Linked DNA regions of Macaca mulatta. The protein of the gene in region 1 interacts with the protein of each later gene in a biochemical or structural test. Links are inferred from orthologs where the notes say so. Each region holds a gene or a part of one and is shown on either strand. Other genes may lie near its edges. The genes, in order: TMPO and LMNB1.

Region 1 (8,576 bases):
ACACGGATTAGTGTTGTCAGGAGGTTATTTATACCTGTACACGGTGATTAAAATAAAACTAAAGATACCTGGTTGTGCTCAACTCTTCTTTGCTTGAGTGTTACCGGAGTCTTTGCTCTGCCCTTTAGTGGTTCTCTCTTCTCAAGCTTGAGCTCTATTTTAGAGTCTGGAAATAACATTAGAGAAACCGTTACTCTCTGAAACACCCAATAAATGACGATGTTATCCTAATATTAATCAGGAACCCTGGTTTTAGGCACATTAAAAGGTAAAAAACGAGTCTACTGGTAATACCTCACTAGTCCAAAATTGTTTAACTGCAATTTGTCTTGAAAACTGTTTCATTATTTATCCCATTTTTGCTTATCTCCCTTACCCTTTCATCTGACAACCACTTCCTCCTATTCTCCTTTCCTTTATCTGGGACTAATAGCTTTGAACATGAAGTGAATTCAAAATGCTCCCACGAAAGCTTTTCACTAAGAACAATTTAGATGTGGAAAAAGGCCACTTAAAATACATAGTTGTTACCATTGTTTTGTCCATACAGTATACTACTACTGTACAGCAAAGGTTGGCTTACTAAATTAAAATTTGGAACACAGAAGGGAAATTTTAAAAATGAAAAAACCCATATAGTATACCAAGCTTCTATAACAATAAATAACTGCCATAACATTAGTAAGTACAGTATAAAAGTTTTTTTGATGTAGTTACAAAAAACCTAGGTACAACTCAGGTAATGAATCTTGTTCACAGAATACGACCAATCACAGGTCTCGTCCCATTTCTTCAAATAAAAATAACATTTCTTTGAAGAGAAGCCAATATTTATATATTACTTGACTTGTCACCATGATAGTTATTATTAACCTAACAACGCAAGGATATGTATTTTTTAATAGGCTTCAATATTCCAGTCTCCTAGTCTTAAATTCATTATCATTTGAAAATCTAGGTTTTGAAAAGACTGATTTTAGTTAACATCCCTGGCCCGGCGTGGTGGCTCACGCCTGTAATCCCAGCACTTTGGAAGGCTGAGGCCGGCGGATCACCTGAGGTCAGGAGCTCAAGACCATCCTGGCCAACATGGTGAAACCCCGTTTCTACTAAAAATATAAACATCAGCCAGGCGTGGTGGCAGGCACCTGTAATCCCAGTTACTCGGGAGGCTGAGGCAGGAGAATCGCTTGAACCCGGGAGGTGGAGGTTGCAGTGAGCCGAGATCACGCCATTGCACTCCAGCTTTGCGGACAAGAGCGAGACTTCCTCTTAAAAAAAAAAATTTCCTCCTTTTTGTAGACATTTATCATGGTATAGCAAAATTAGTAAGTCAAGTCAGTGATTACTTCTAAAACTTCTACTACCAAAAATTTAAGGCTGGGCGCGGTGGCTCAGGCCTGTAATCCCAGCACTTTGGGAGGCCGAGACAGGCGGATCACGAGGTCAGGAGATTGAGACCATCCTGGCGAACACGGTGAAACCCCTTCTCTACTAAAAAATACAAAAAAACTAGCGAGGTGGCGGGCACCTGTAGTCCCAGCTACTCGAGAGGCTGAGGCAGGAGAATGGCGTAAATCTGGGAGGTGGAGCTTGCAGTGAGCTGAGATCCAGTCACTGCACTCCAGCCTAGGCGACAGAGCGAGACTCTGTCTCAAAAAAAAAAAAAAAAAAAAAAAAAAAAAAAAAAAAATTAGATTACTTTATCAAAGAGACAGAAAGGAAGTCAATTCTAAAGTTTTACATGAACTCCATGATGAACCTGTGCAAAAAAGTGTTAGACATCTATATGTGTCTTGCTCTCTTTCCATTGTTAATATTAGTTAGTCCAGAATCTATTTAATAGTTGCAGGTTTCCCAAAAAAAAAAAACCAGTGATTTTTATCATGTTAGTTTAAACAGTTCAATATTTAGGACTAAGATTTCAAGTCTATCTCCCAACACTTCTATCAATGGCCCTATCAATATATCTACGTTTGATACAACCCCCAGCAATATAAAATTTACTTTAGGCTTTGTTAACTCAGATTTTAAGAACTAGAAAGCACAAAGTAAAAAAAAACCATCAGTAGTGGAGCAGAAATCAATTAAACAAATAAAGTATCTGGTTACAGATCAATTCCTCTTATAAATTTAAATTCCAACAGTCAATAAAAACATGGTCCTCAAACAGAAGAAAAACCATACAATAATCAGAGTATTTTCAATCATACCGCTGAAATGTCAGAGTGAGTTTCAATGATGAAATGGAAAAAGGGTGTTCATATACAAATGTTTAACTTGTTGCAACTCCAAGAATAAAGCACACATAACAACATGTTTCTGGAGACCACACAACACTGTTCAAATTTAACAACTTTTATTGAATTTGCAGAAGCATTCTACAGTAATACATTTTTAAAAATCACACAGCACTCAATAGGTACATGTATACATGTACATTTCAGAAGACAACAAATAAAATTACTCTCAGAAAGTTGCAAAGAGGGACATGTATAATCTAAGAATGTGGTAATGGCCAGAGGGAGTACCCAAGAGACCATATTTTATTATGCTTAAGGCTACTATTTTCCACAATACCTCTGCAGTTAGATTCTTATCTTACAATCATAGAAATTAAAAGATGATAATACAATGCTTTATACAGACACACAGATACTGGGATATAGTATATTTCTTATGGCTTTAAACAAATTAAATTTGCTTTTAGAGTCTATATTGTTAAACTTAACTTTCCACAAAATACAATATATCATGAAAGCAAAGTAGTATTTTTTAAAAAGCCCCATTATCTGATAAAATAGACGGTGAACATGCACTATCCCAGGATATCTATTATTATCCAAAGAAGTGTTTCTCAAAGTGTGGTCCATGGTACTGGTCCATGAATTGGTTGCTACCAGTCAATGAAGAGATACATTACTTGCATCAGAGTGTAAATCAATACATTGCTTTAGCTATTAATACAATTTTGCTAAAAAATAAATCCTGTCATTGACTTAAAAAGTATCTTTAGATTTAAATTATTGTGCATGCTTATCTTGCCTGTGGATAAGTAACAGTTCGTAGACTGGTAGTTTGAGTTGCACTGATCTAGACTACTATGATTGCTGTTGCAGACATGAGTAAAAAAACAAAAGCAACAAAATATGAGCAAAAATATGGACAAGTTATGGAATGTGAAAAGATACTGAGATAAAAATATCAAAAAGAACAAAATCACTGTTCTGAATGTGTAACAAACGTTTAAACCTGTCCTAGGTATAAAGGAGGATGCATATTACTCTATTAAACAGTAAAGACTCCTTATATCCTAATTAGAATTTTCTTAGTTTTGGAGAATTGTAAAAGCATACGTAAAGCAGGAAATAGAAAACAATTTGGAGACTAATATGTGATCTAGAAAGCTTTAAATTGTTTGTACCAGGTTTCCTACCTATGCAAATCTTTAAAAAAGAAAAGCAGTTCTACACAGGCAATTACTTTTATACTATAATTTGATGGGTAGAAGCTTAACATTTTGTAATTAGCCCTATCTGGAAACTAAAACAACCTTAACAGAAAAGAAAATGTTGGCATAAAAGTTTGAAATATAAGATAGGTGTCTTTTTGTTCTTAATGTTACTAGTGTTTATTTCCACGCTTTTTAATTACTTTGCATACTTCTCCTCCAAATAATGTTCCACCTTTAAAGGGAGTGGAAGCCAGCTTACTCTTAGAAGCTAAATTAATTTTGCAATCTTTCAGCCAGAGGTATCGACGACCTACAGTGGAATTTCCCATGGTATGGGCAGCCATCTTCACTTCATCAAATGCAGCTTCACAAATATATGAGGCTGCATCATATGTTTTGCTCAGAATCCCAAGTGCTTGATGGGTACGACTAGGATCTGAGCTAAGAATCTGTGCAGCTTGACTAATGTCTGCCTGCATAGCCTTAGCAACAAAGGCAGTGTGGGTTGCAATCTGCAATGCTGATGCTGCGGCTTCATATGCTCTACAGAGTGCTAAGTCCAACTGTTTATCGCAAGACTCAGTGGAGGTTGCTTGAATACCTGCTGGTGGAGTGGCTTCAGAAATAAACCCTAGGATTTCATCATCTACTTTTGGAACTGATAATAACCGTGTTGCCTCCTTGGAAGAAACTGGATATCTGCATGCCAGTGAAGGCCGCTGCCTGTCAACTTGCTGCCATTCTTCTTCAATTACTTTTAAAATAGATTCATGGAAGGGAAAAGATAGTTCTGAGGCATCTATTTTATCATGCTGTGACTGCTTAGACACTTCTAGACCTAAGGTAGTGAGTGAATGAGAGACAACAGTTTTGGCAAAAGAAGACGGCAAAAGTTCGGATCCAGGTATGTTCTGAAATGCCACAACGGAACCTGAATCCCTTTCCTCCACTGACTTCTCACTCAGTCTAGGGACTTTTCGTGGAGGAGACAGGAATTCAGTTTCTTGAAACTTAGATTGATCAATTCTCTTCTGTATGTTTTCTACATCCAGTGGGGGTGTAGAGTTAGAAGTTCCAGGCAAACTACCTGTCCCACCCTGGACCAACAGAGAATTGACATAATCTCTGATTGCCTGGGCAAGTGGCGGAGAAATTAGTTTTGAGCTCTCAGACTCTTCTAGTGCTTTCCTTTTACTGGAGAGAGGCGACTGATCTGAAATATGGGACCTCTCAGGACATAACGGTTGAATTCCACTTTTTTCTCTACCGCAAATATTTTCTACTATGTCTTTATAGCAAGCAGTGGTGGTTTCTTTAATCAGTGAAGGAGAAGCTGCAGCAGAGACCAACATGGCACTGTGTTCAGGCTGAGAAGATGACGAAGAACTTTTCTCTAAGCACCTATTATGGCTAGACTTGCATGAAATAAACAAATTCCTTTCAGAGGCTAACTTCTGCAATTGTCCCCTGCCAGGCAAGTTTGTGGCAACAAGAGGCTCCCTAGGTAGGTCTCCCTTAGAAGTATGTACTTTCTTAGCTGCCTGTAGTTCAGTACTGCCCAAAGGAGGACGGGTGGAGATTTCAGGAAAAGAAATACCCTGAAAAAATCCACCACCAGAGGCAGTAGTTCCAAGTTCAGAAAAAGGAACAAAATCCCTAGTGGACTTCACTTTCTTGTGTTCTTTCTTCTTTCCTGTAGAGGCAAAAGAGGCAGGAAGTTTAAGCATTACCTGTGTTTGAGCTGATTTTATTCTTTGCCTCTTTGCTAAAAATAGTGCTGTCAAAGGAAAAGACTCTATAATTTAATATTCTGAACTAATCTGCCAGATTTGCCCTGGTAGACACAGCTTATTGAGATATAAACAATCTGGATCAAAATAAATAACCACAAGTCATATGAATTAAAAGTTTACAAAAATCAAGTTGTACTTACAATTTTTAAAGGACATTTATTTCACGTCCTATCCTCAAAAAATATTTCAACATCATAATCAAATTTTAAGATACTATCTAGTCTACTAAAAATGTAGTCAAAATATTTGCTTTAAAGTTGCCTTCAGGTCAGATCAACAAAAACTGTAAACAATTTAAATGCCTATCAATAGAGAATAGAGAAAATATGCCATATTTAAATGCTACTATGTATTATGCGGAATAAACAGATATGTAACTAATTGGATTATATTTCAAAAATAAAGGAGTAAGAAAAAGCAAGTGATAAGATTTAGCATATTGTTTATATAAATTTTGTATTCTTAAAGTATAAAATAATACCATGTATTAGACAGATGTGTATGTGAAATATAAAAACAAACTTGAAAGATGGGCATTGAATTAGTAGTTACTTCTGTGGAGGTGACAGGTACAGATAAGTACAAGGAACTTTGCCTTTACTTGTAATACTTTATTCTCTCAGAAAAATGGGTTTGAAGCAAAAAAGACAAAGTTAACTTGCAATTTCAGGTGACAGAAAATTATAAATTTGTACTATGTTGTTTCTTATAATTTTCAATAAAAAGTATTTAAATCAAATTACAGAATTACTCTAATGACATGAATAAAATTTGTATATCTTGTCAATATTGTTTTAAATTTTACTTTCTTCATGGTCACTGTATTTTGAGTGTGAAAAAATTACATACATTTGATTAACATCATTTAAAATTTTACCTTCTTCATTGTCACTATATCTGTCAGAATCATTACTTCCATTCTGCCTTGTATTTTCTGCTGAAGAAGAAATTGTTGGCAGAGGAGTAGAAGATCTTGATTCTGTTCCTTGTTCCCTCAGTTTCAAAAGCTTTTTCTCATACAGCTTCCTGGTTGTTCCTGGATTAAGGCAGAATTTGCTTTAGTACTTGTATTGCTTCATTTAGGGTGCAGCTCAGACACTATACTCAGCAACATTTTAAGCTATTTTCACTCTTTCTTTTTTTAAACTCAAGTTTTTTTTTTTTGAGACGGAGTCTTGCTCTGTCACCCAGGCTGGAGTGCAGTGGCCGGATCTCAGCTCACTGCAAGCTCCACCTCCCGGGTTCACGCCATTCTCCTGCCTCAGCCTCCCAAGTAGCTGGGACTACAGACGCCCGCCACCTCGCCCGGCTAGTTTTTTTGTATTTTTAGTAGAGACGGGGTTTCACCGTGTTAGCCAGGATGGTCTTGATCTCCTGACCTCGTGATCCGCCCGTCTCGGCCTCCCAAAGTGCTGGGATTACAGGCTTGAGCCACCGCACCCGGCTAAACTCAAGTTCTTAAAAATACTATATAATGCGGCCGGACATAGTGGCTCACGACTGTAAACCCGCCACTTTGGGAGGCTGAGGCGGGTGCATCACTTGAGGTCAGGAGTTCGAGACCAGCCTGGCCAACACAGTGAAACTGCATCTCCACTAAAAATGCAAAAATTAGCCGGGAGTGGTGGCACATGCCTGTGATCCCAGCTATTTGGGAGGCTGAGACAGGAGAATCACTTGAAATTGGGAGGCAGAGGTTGCAGTGAGCCAAGATCACACCACTGTCCAGCGACGAAGTGAGACACCATCTCAAACAAACAAACAAACAAACAAACAAACAAACAAAAGGACAGACGTGGTGGCTGATGCCTGTAATCCCAGCACTTTCAGAGGCCAAGGTGGGTGGATCACCTGAGGTCAGCAGTTCAAGACAAGACAGCCTAACATGGTGAAACCCCATCTCCACCAAAAATACAAAAAATTAGCTGGGCCTGGTGGTGGGCGCCTGTAATCTCAGCCACTCAGGAGGCTGAGGCAGGAGAATTGCTTGAACCCAGGAGGTAGAGGCTGCAGTGAGCTGGTATCGCACCACTGCATTCTACAGAACTATATAATGCACTGTTTTTATAATAGGTGGTTTTTTTTTGGAAACGACATTTCTTTTAATAGCATGAAATACATAGTAAATTAATATAGGCCTTACTGTAGACCATCTACTGAAAAGCCATGTATGACTATTTTTGACTGAAGTCTTGCACTTGTGTATTTTCTCTACTACCACATAATAGTACTTGCCAACATAGAAAAATCACATATAAGCGGATTGTACCTCTATGAAAAATAACTATGATTAAACTTCCACAACTCTAAGGCATTAATATGCCTGTATTCAGTTATGGGGAAAAGAAAAGTTCTATAAATCAGATTTAAATATTTAACTTTGCAGTTAAAATGACCTTTTATGGAAAACACATATCACAAAGCAAAACTGATTACAAATTCTTAACACATTGGAACATCAGTGGCAGTTTAAAACCAAAATAGATTTTGTCTTACACTAACTGTATATCTTTCCTTAACTTCTGTAAGATGAGCAAAATGACAATGGATATTTTTTAGAAGCAACATGTGTCCAGAAGTGTTATAGAAATAGCTTTAAGATGAACAGGTCATATATCAACATATCATTTAATGTAGGCTGACATTATAACACACATTTTTCAGTGTCTCTCTTTTGGAATTTCTTTTTTTTTTTTTCGAGACAAGGTCTTGCTCTGTTGCCCAGGCTGCAGTGCAGTGGTGTGATCGTAGTTCACTGCAACCTTCAACTTGTAGGCTCAAGCAATCCTCCCACCTTTGCCTCCTGAGTAGCTGGGACTACAAATGTGCACCACCATGCCTGGCTAATTTTTTTAAAAAATAGAGACAAGGTTCACTATGTTGCCCTGGCTGCTCTTCAACTCCTGAGCTCAAGCAATTCCACCACCTTGGCCTCCCAAAATGTTGGGATTATTTATAGGCATGAACTACCATGCCCAGGCCTTTTAGAACTTTAAACAAAAAATTTTTTAAAAGTGTTATATATCTGTTGGTAATTGTACATGAATAAACTTATGATTATTTGGAAGCAGCTTATACATTAAAACAAAATATTCCAAATCCTTATTTGCAACTATACCTACAGCAAAACCTACCAAATCTCTAGTGTCCACAATTTTATGTAACTTAGAAGATCAAGACCAGATGCAATGGCTCATGCCTGTAATCCTAGGACTTAGGGAGGCCTAGGTGGCAGGACTGCTTGAGCCCAGGAGTTCAAGACTAGCCTAGGCAATATAGTGTGACCCCATCCCTACAAAAAATACAAAATTTAGCCAGGAATGGTGGCA
Region 2 (8,676 bases), on another chromosome or scaffold:
CTGTTTTTCCCATATAGTTAACAGTGAAATTCTGAAACAAGTCAATTTCTCTGTACTTTTTGTTTAAAGTTTTGAGTGATGGCATTCATCATCATTCTTGGAAACTGTTCTCCCAAAAAAGCTTTCAGCAAAATATAACTAGGCTTGGACTGAATCAGAGTAACTGTACCTTGCATATGAGATCTGTATTCCTATGGATTCAAACACCACATGCATGGAAACTATTGCCAAATTCTCTTCAGACCAAGCATTTCCATGCTCTGCCTCTAAGGTATTTTGTGTGCTGAGGAACCAAAAAGAAACTAAGCAACTTGGAATCTATAATTCTCTCAAGGCTGTTTTCTTAATCTAAATCTACCTAAATGATGATTATACTTAATTACAAACACTCTGGTTCCAAATAAAAAATTAAATATAGGCCAGGCATGGTGGCTCACACCTGTAATCTCAGCACCTTGGGAAGCTGAGGTGGGTGGATCACCTGAGGTCAGGAGTTTGAGACCAGCCTGGCAAACACGGTGAAATCCCGTCTCTACTAAAAATACAAAATGAGTTGGGTGTGGTGGTGCACACCTATAATCCCAGCTACTTGGGAGGCTGGGTCAGGAGCATCACTTGAACCTGGGAGGCGGAGGTTGCAGTGAGCCAAGCTCAGTCTCAAACAAAAAAAAAAGAAATAAAAGAAAGAAACACATTAACAACCCTGGATGCCAGAAGACAATAGGGCAAAATAATACTTTCAAGTTCTGGAAAAATGTTAACCTAGTATTCTATACCTAGCCCAACAGCCAATCAAGCATGAGACTAAACAAAGCTATTTTCAGACATACAGGAATCAGAAAGTTTACCTCCTGCCATCCTTTCCGAATAAATTACTTAAGGATGTTCTTCAACAAAATATGAAGAAACCAAGGAAAAGCAAAATACACCCAGGGTGGAGTGCAGTGGTGTGATCTCAGCTCACTGCAACCTCCGCCTTCCTGGTTCAAGCGAAGCCTCCTGCCTCAGCCTCCAGAGTAACTGGGATTGCAGGCGTCCACCACCACACCCGGCTAATTTGTGTATTTTTAGTAGAGACGGGGTCTTGCCATGTTGGCCAGGCTAGTCTCAAACTCCTGACTTCAGGTGATCTACCTGTCTGGGTCTCTCAAAGTGCTTTATAGGCATGAGCCACTGTGCCCAGCCAGGAAGCTGTCTTTAATAAGTTACAGGACGGCCAGGCGCGGTGGCTCACGCCTGTAATCCCAGCACTTTAGGAGGCCGAGGCGGGCAGATTACGAGGTCAGGAGATCCAGACCATCCTGGCTAACACGGTGAAACCCCGTCTCTACTAAAGAATACAAAAAATTAACCGGGCGTAGTGGCGAGCACCTACAGTCCCAGCTACTCGGGAGGTTGAGGCAGGAGAATGGTGTGCACCCAGGAGGCGGAGGTTGCAGTGAGCCGAGATTGCGCCACTGCACTCCAGCCTGGGCGACAGAGCAAGACTCCAGCTCAAAAAAAAAAAAAAAAAGTTACAGGACATCAGTACACAGCATACCTTCAGCAAAGAGAACTCTAGGGAAGAAAGTAGATTCATGTGATATATATTATGATTAGATATCTTCAAAAAGTCTGCAAACACACTGAGGGCAAATTTTTCTTAATCAACAAGAAAAACGAAAGGCTACTGAGGAATAAATCCATATTAAAAAAGTCATAATTCAAATGAGGAGCAAACTAAAACGTGGCATGTTTTGAGCAAATGATGGTATGCTGAGGGGGAAAGAAGAGTACACCTAATCCTGGCAATAGGAATATACATACAGTAGCAGAGACCTAAGAAAAATATAATCCCAGAACACTACTTACCCTGGGAGAATAGATACTGTCAACCCCTCAGACAGGCCTTCCTTAATCACACTAACCCTTCACTCTGCTTCATTTTTATTCCCTTAGCATCTGCTATTACCTAAACTGTATCACATACATTATTTCATTGATTCTAATACACATTATTCTCATTTTTTAACCCCACTGAAACCAGCATGCATTTTAGAATCCATACATTTACAACTAGTGTCAGCCAGGTGGCAGCCTTGTTACTGTGTGAAAAACCTGTGGATAACTCCTGGAAAGATTACAAAAGCGCCAGCATCAAAATGCTTCACATCACACAAAAGACAATCTTTATTTGCTTGCTGGGATACAGCTCCCCCACTACACTCTCAGCAACAAAGAATAGTACTTCATTTTTTTAAAAAATCTTCGTACCCTCTAACATAGAACGGTGACTGGTTCACAACAGATCATTGATCTGTGTGAATTTTTTTTTTAGACAGAGTCTCACTCTGTCACCCAGGCTGGAGTGCAGCGGACCATCTGGCTCACTGCAGCCTCTGCCTCCTGGATATCAAGCAATTCTCCTGCCTCAGCCTCCCCAGTAGCTGGGATTACAGGCGCCCACCACGACGCCCAGATATATATATACACACACATACATACATACATATATATATATATATATATATTTTTTTTTTTTTTTGAGACAGGGTCTCACTCTGTCGCCAGGCTGGGGTGCAACGCGCAATCCCGGCTCACTGCAACATCCGTCTCCTGGGTTCAAGCGATTCTCCTGCCTCAGCCTCCCGAGTAGCTGGGACTACAGATGCGTGCTACCACGCCTGGCTAATTTTTTGTATTTTTAGTAGAGACGGGGTTTCACCAATTAGGCTGGTCTCGAACTCCTGATTTCAAGTGATTCGCTCACCTCGCCTCCCAAAGTGCTGGGATTACAGGTGTGAGCCACCATGCCCGGCCCTGTGTGACATTTTAATATCTATGAAATCATGATGGGTCCAACAGGATGGTTCCTACACAGTTGGTCCTGGTGTTTTTATCTTCTTAGTGGTACAAATCTAATGGCAAGTCTTACAAGCAACGATATCTAAGACTTGAAGGAATTCAGTGGCAAAAAGTTGGAGAAACATGGAAACAACAGTGTGAGTGAGCTTACCGCTCATTTCAAAAGATGAAACCAAGGCTTAGTAAATCCAAGAAGCAGGGACAAAGAGTGTCAAAGTGAGAATAAGGTACCTCCAGAAATTTCAGTTGGCCGTGCTAATGGCGAGCACGAATTCCAGACCCAAATTTTGCAAATCTCTAAAGCATGACATCAACACTTGTTGCCTACTGATGACAGGCCATTTTGCTTATCAGAAAATCAAAATAAGGCCTGCAAAGGTCTGCAAGTGTATCCTTGTGCACTGGAATGAAAACTCACACTCGCTTAGGTGAATAATTACAAACTCTCCTTCGCTCAAACACTCAGCATTTACATAGCACCCTGTCACCTGCCCTGGTCTACTATCTGCACAATGGCCGACTAAGGGGTACTAAGCACGGTCCCTACCCGAAAGCCCGACTCTACTATGAGGCGGCAAAAGCTGGGGAGAGGGGGCCGCTGCCTGAGGGGTAGGCGAACCGCAACTCGAAGAACAGTGGCAGTAACATGCACAAACCCGGCTTTCCTTCCCTGCGCAGAACCACCTGAGGGCTCGCACCATCCCCGCTGAGACAGGACACCTTTGCCCTGAGAAAGCTAACCAGCTAGCAAACCTAACTTGCCTGAGGCGGGCTGGAGGCGCGCGGATCAAGCCCCGCCTCTCTCTCCCGCCCAAAGCAGGCGTAGAACCTTCGCAAAATGTCACAGGGCCAAGACTGAGCGCGCCAAAGTGGGACCCACCCCCAGGAGACGCGGATGCTCCGGGAAGGTCCCTCCCCTTCCTCCCTCTGCCCGCGCGAAGCTCATTCATTCTAGAGGCGGGCTGCCTGTCCTCCCCGGCCGGCCATCCTGGCACTACAAATCCGCTAGACGCTTTGTCTCGCGCCGGCCGGAAACCCGGGCGCGCACTCGAGCGCGCGTCCGCGCTCCAGTTCCCTGCACCTGGGGCCTGCGGGCCGCCTCTCCGCGCCGGCTCCCCGGGTTCGAGGTGCGAAAGCTGGCGCTCGTTCTCAGCAGTCCCAGGCGCGCACTTATCACGTCCCAGCGGGTATCCAAAACCTAGAAATGGGCATCACGGCCCCCATCGCTACAGTTCGAGCCCCCTCCGCGACCCCTGCCCCGCTATGAACTCTAGATTCTTTTTCCTTTTCTTTCCGGAGACCGAGACCCTGTTCCTTCCGAAGGACGCGTGCATCCTGGCCTCTGCACTCCCTCCCCAGGGCACAACCCGGTGAGCTGGCCGCCGCGACTGCGCCCCCGACCCTCCTTGGTGCTAACGCGGCAGCCAGCTAGCACTCACTTGAGGAGCAGCTGGTCGTGTTCCGCCTTGCACTTGCCCAGCTCGATCTGCAGCTTGGCGCGCTCGCGGGCCGTGTCGTCGAGCGCGCGTCGCGCGTCGGCCAGCTCGGTCTCGTAGAGCGCCTTGAGGCCAGTGAGCTCGCGGCCGCGCACCTCCTCGCGCTCCGTCACCTGCAGCTGCAGCGCGCTGTTTTCCGTCTCCAGGCTGCGCACCTTGTCGATGTACACCGCCAGCCGGTCATTGAGCTCGCGCAGCTCCTCCTTCTCCTGGAGCCGCGACAGCCGCGTGGGGCTCAGCGGCGTGGTGGGGCCGCCAGCGCGGCTGCCCGTCCGCGGCGGCACGGGGGTCGCGGTCGCCATGGCGGGCGGCGGAGACAGCGGGGAGGCGAGGCCGCGAGCAGGACCGTGACAAGAAGGGGACGGCAGGGGGCGAAGCGGGGACCGAAGGCACAAACCGGCGACCTGCGCTCGCGTCCAGACGCCGGCGTTTAGAGGAACGGAGAAGCACCTGGGATGGCGGGAGCTCGATTACAGCACAAAGGGCAAAGGCGCGGGGGGGGGTGGGACTACGAATCAATCGATCGATCGCGAAATGTCCTTTGTAAGAAAACACACACACCCACTCACACACGCACGCGGGAAAATGCAAGACGAGGGTGACTGGAGGCCAAGCAGGGTCCGCGCCGCCGCCGTCTCCTGCTCGCAGCACTTTGTTTCCTCTCAGGCTGCACGGAGCGGCGGGCGGGGGGAGGAGGGCCGGGAGGGGCGGGCTGGAGGCAAGCCGCGGGGGGCGGAGGTGGCGCGGGCCGCGGCGCCGCACACCCCAACATGGCCGGCGCGCCCTGGCGCCTCCACGTGACCGTCATCGGCCAATGGGGAACGGGCAGCGTGCTTCGGCGGCCCGGAGGCCGGGCCTGTAAATTTAAAATCTGGCACTCGGGCAACCGTCCGCTCGGCACGCCCGCCTGGGCGGTGCCCGGACGGGACTCAGGGCGGCAAGGAAGGACGCCCGGGACTGCCCACCCGCGCGGCCCTGGGCCCAGCGCCCTCCGGGCCCTCCCGCCGCCCCGCGGGGACCCCTTGGAGGGGCCGGGCCTGCGAAAGGCGGGAAGGAGCCCGGAGGTTTCCGGGGCGGATCTGCGCCACCGCCCACACTCGGCGGTTCAGGGAAATTCAAATATAAACGTTCCTAAAAGCCACACGCGAAACTCAGAGTCCCCGGCCACCGCGGGCGTGGTAACCTTATCCCCTGTTCCTGTGGAGGGCTCGGGAAACGGCTTGGAGGCTGGGACGCTGTGGAATTACGTAATAGGCACTTGAGTCCGGAGTTCCAAACGCACTGCTTGCAGGTTCCAAGTACCAGCCTTTATTTTTCTCTCGGGTGGAAAATTATATCAGGCAACTTCTTTCCATGAAATTGAGATCTGTGCGTCTTGAAGCCGACAGATTATTTATCACAGAAAAACCAGCAACCCTGATTTTAAATCATTTGCTACCAGTGTTAATGGGCGGTTCCTAATCCGTTTGTTTCTTAAGGGTTTGTAAAATCAAAAACAGCTCAGAAATGATACGATTAACATATGACGGTGAGTAAATATGAGCGCAAGCTGTTTCATACTCTTAAAATCAGATGCATAAAAATCTGAACGTGGAAATTTAAGATGAAATAATTTTTTGCTTTTAAAAAGAGGCTCCCAAGATGTCACTGGCAGCTACTTCTAATAGAAAGCACATTTCATCCCTTTGAAAAGTTCCTAATTTTTAGGCTAACGTTTATTGGGACTGAGTGCCAGCACTAGGCTTTTCATGGATTACCCATCCACACAACCGCCGTGTGATATAGGAAACTGGATTGTATCTGTTTGAAAATTCATCCGGACGGGCGCGGTGGCTCACGCCTGTAATCTCGACCCTTTGGGAGGCGGAGAGGTGGGAGGATCACCTGAGGTCAGGAGTTCAAGACCAGCCTGACCAAGATGGTGAAACCCCATCTCTACAAAAATTAGCCGGGCATGATGGCGGGTGCCTGTAATCCCAGCTACTTGGGAGACTGAGGTGGGCGATTCCCTCGAACCCGGGAAGGGGAAGTTGCAGTGAGCCGAGATGGCACCATTGCACTCCAGCTTGGTGACAGAGACACCGTATTCCAGCTTGGGTGACAGAGACACCGTCTGAAAAAAAACAAAAAAAAAGCATCCATTTTATAGCTGCCCAGCAGGCGACAGACGGGACTGCTTTTGACAGGTCCCAGGATTCTAATTGACTCGAATCTGGCCCTTAACTATACCCTAGATGGCCACCTTATCAACTGTTAGGAACGCTTCTGTAATTAATGGTTACTTACTTTAAAAATGGCAGAAATGAAGACCAGGATATTCTTTTAACTATTAATCAAGTCATGTACATAAGAATTAGTGAAGAACACTGGGAGCTGCATATTCATCACAGATGAATTTCTGGCACTCTGTGAATTGTGACCATTCTCCTTATTAATGGTTCTATTTCCTGTCCGGTTTCCTGAAATATCTTCTTTCTTTTTTTGGGGGGTGGGGGAAGGGTGGCAGGGAGACGGAGTCTCGCTTTGTCGCCCAGGCTGGAGTGCAATGGTACAATCTCGGCTCACTGCAACTTCCACCTCCTGGGTTCAAGCGATTCTCCTGCCTGGTGGGACCAGCGCCACCACAGTCGGCTAATTTTTTGTATTTTAGTAGAGACGATGTTTCAACGTGTTGCCCAGGCTGGTCTCGAACTCCTGAGCTCAGGCAATCCGTCCACCTCGGCCTCCCAAAGTGCTAGAATTACAGGCGTGAGCCACCGCGCCCGGCCATGAAATACCTCCTTTCTTAACCTCGTTGAGAATTTAAGAACCGAAAAGCTTCGACTTTAAGTATTCAAGTAATCTTAAAAGGAACTTTAAAATCTAAATTACTGATGAGAAAACCAGCCGGGCGTGGTGGCTCAGCCTGTAATCCCAGCATTTTGGGAGGCGGAGGCCGGCGGATCACCTGAGGTCAGGAGTTTGAGACCAGCCTGACCAACATGGAGAAACCCCGTCTCTACTAAGACTATAAAATTAGCCGGGACTGGTGGCACATGCCTCTAATCCCAGCTACTCGGGAGACTGAGGCAGAAGAATCGCTTTAACCTGGGAGGTGGAGGTCGCCGTGAGCCGAGATCGTGCCATTGCACTCCAGAAGCGAAACTCATCTCAAAACAAAAAAAAAGAAAGAAAAGAAAATGGGGATGATTTCTACTTGCACAGGATTTGTGTAGATTTAATAAAACAATTTATGCAGTGCGTTAGACATATAACATGTGAAGGCTAAATAGTAACTCTTACTAATAGTAATCATGTGTTTCCAGTCAAAACCAAGAAAAAAGAATGGAAAATCTTGAAGCCTTAGCATTAGGTAATTGTGGCCGGGCATAGTGGCTCACATTTGTAATCCCAGCACTTTGGGAGGATGAGGCAGGTGGATCACTTGAGGCCAGGAGTTTGAGACCAACCTGGCCAATATAGTGAAACTCCATCTCTACTAAAAATACAAAAAATTAGCTGGGCGTGGTGGCAGGCACCTGTAATCGCAGCGACTTGGGAGGCTGAGGCAGGAGAATCGTTTGATCCCAGGAGCTGGAGGTCGCAGTGGGCCCAGGTAGCGCCATTGTATTCCAGCGTGGCAACAAGAGCAAAACTCTGTAGCAAAAAAAAAAAAAAAACACAAACACACACACACAAGAATTAGACAATCGTGCACATTTTTAGTCAGGTACTTTACAAAATATACACTTTCCTTATTCTCTAGGTGTTTCCCATACCTAATGCTAAACCTGGAATATGGCCTTCTGTACTCTCATACTAAGTGAGTCAAGCTCCCTTTATTCAAGTAATTCCTGAAATCTTATCCCTCCAAAGTTTCCCCAATGAATTGGAAGTAACAAGTTGTAAGTTTGTAAGTGACAACCCTTCTGCATTTATTAGGATAGTGGTGATTTCAAATCTCCTGCCTTTGTTTTCACTACACACCTCCATTTACTTGTCAGGGCACATGTCCTCATTATTGGTTAGACCATATATAACCCCACCAAGTCTCAACATGCCATGCCATCATTTCCCTCGCCTATACTCCTCCCACAACTACCTCACTACATATAAAGAACTCAATTGACATTTGTCCTGCTTTATGTATGTCATTTGGATCTGGGACAGAAAAATATAGGATACATAAGACATCTGGGGAGAAGGGGCCATACTAGGATTGGGTGAGAAGAAAGGGGGAGGAGAGACTGAAAGCTTAGCAGTAACCCACTTTTGTCTCCGGAGAGGGGAGCGACAGCTGGCAGATAACTGAGTATACATTGCAAACAAATAGGATAGCTAGGACTGTGACACAAAA

What was found.
Region 2: the proteins of TMPO (region 1) and LMNB1 form a complex in vitro, tested with the Homo sapiens proteins (2 studies listed by BioGRID). The link is inferred for Macaca mulatta from reciprocal best matches to the Homo sapiens genes TMPO and LMNB1.

What each region holds. Positions count from the first base shown.
Region 1 is NC_133416.1:105,822,674-105,831,249, reverse strand, and holds part of TMPO (thymopoietin), read right to left. Parts: intron 6,284-8,576; coding exon 6,125-6,283; intron 5,148-6,124; coding exon of another isoform or gene 3,625-5,147; exon of another isoform or gene 2,363-3,624; intron 167-2,362; coding exon 69-166; intron 1-68. UniProt on the Homo sapiens protein: May help direct the assembly of the nuclear lamina and thereby help maintain the structural organization of the nuclear envelope. Possible receptor for attachment of lamin filaments to the inner nuclear membrane.
Region 2 is NC_133411.1:135,729,060-135,737,735, reverse strand, and holds the start of LMNB1 (lamin-B1), read right to left. Parts: upstream 4,864-8,676; 5' UTR 4,643-4,863; coding exon 4,284-4,642; intron 1-4,283. UniProt on the Homo sapiens protein: Lamins are intermediate filament proteins that assemble into a filamentous meshwork, and which constitute the major components of the nuclear lamina, a fibrous layer on the nucleoplasmic side of the inner nuclear membrane.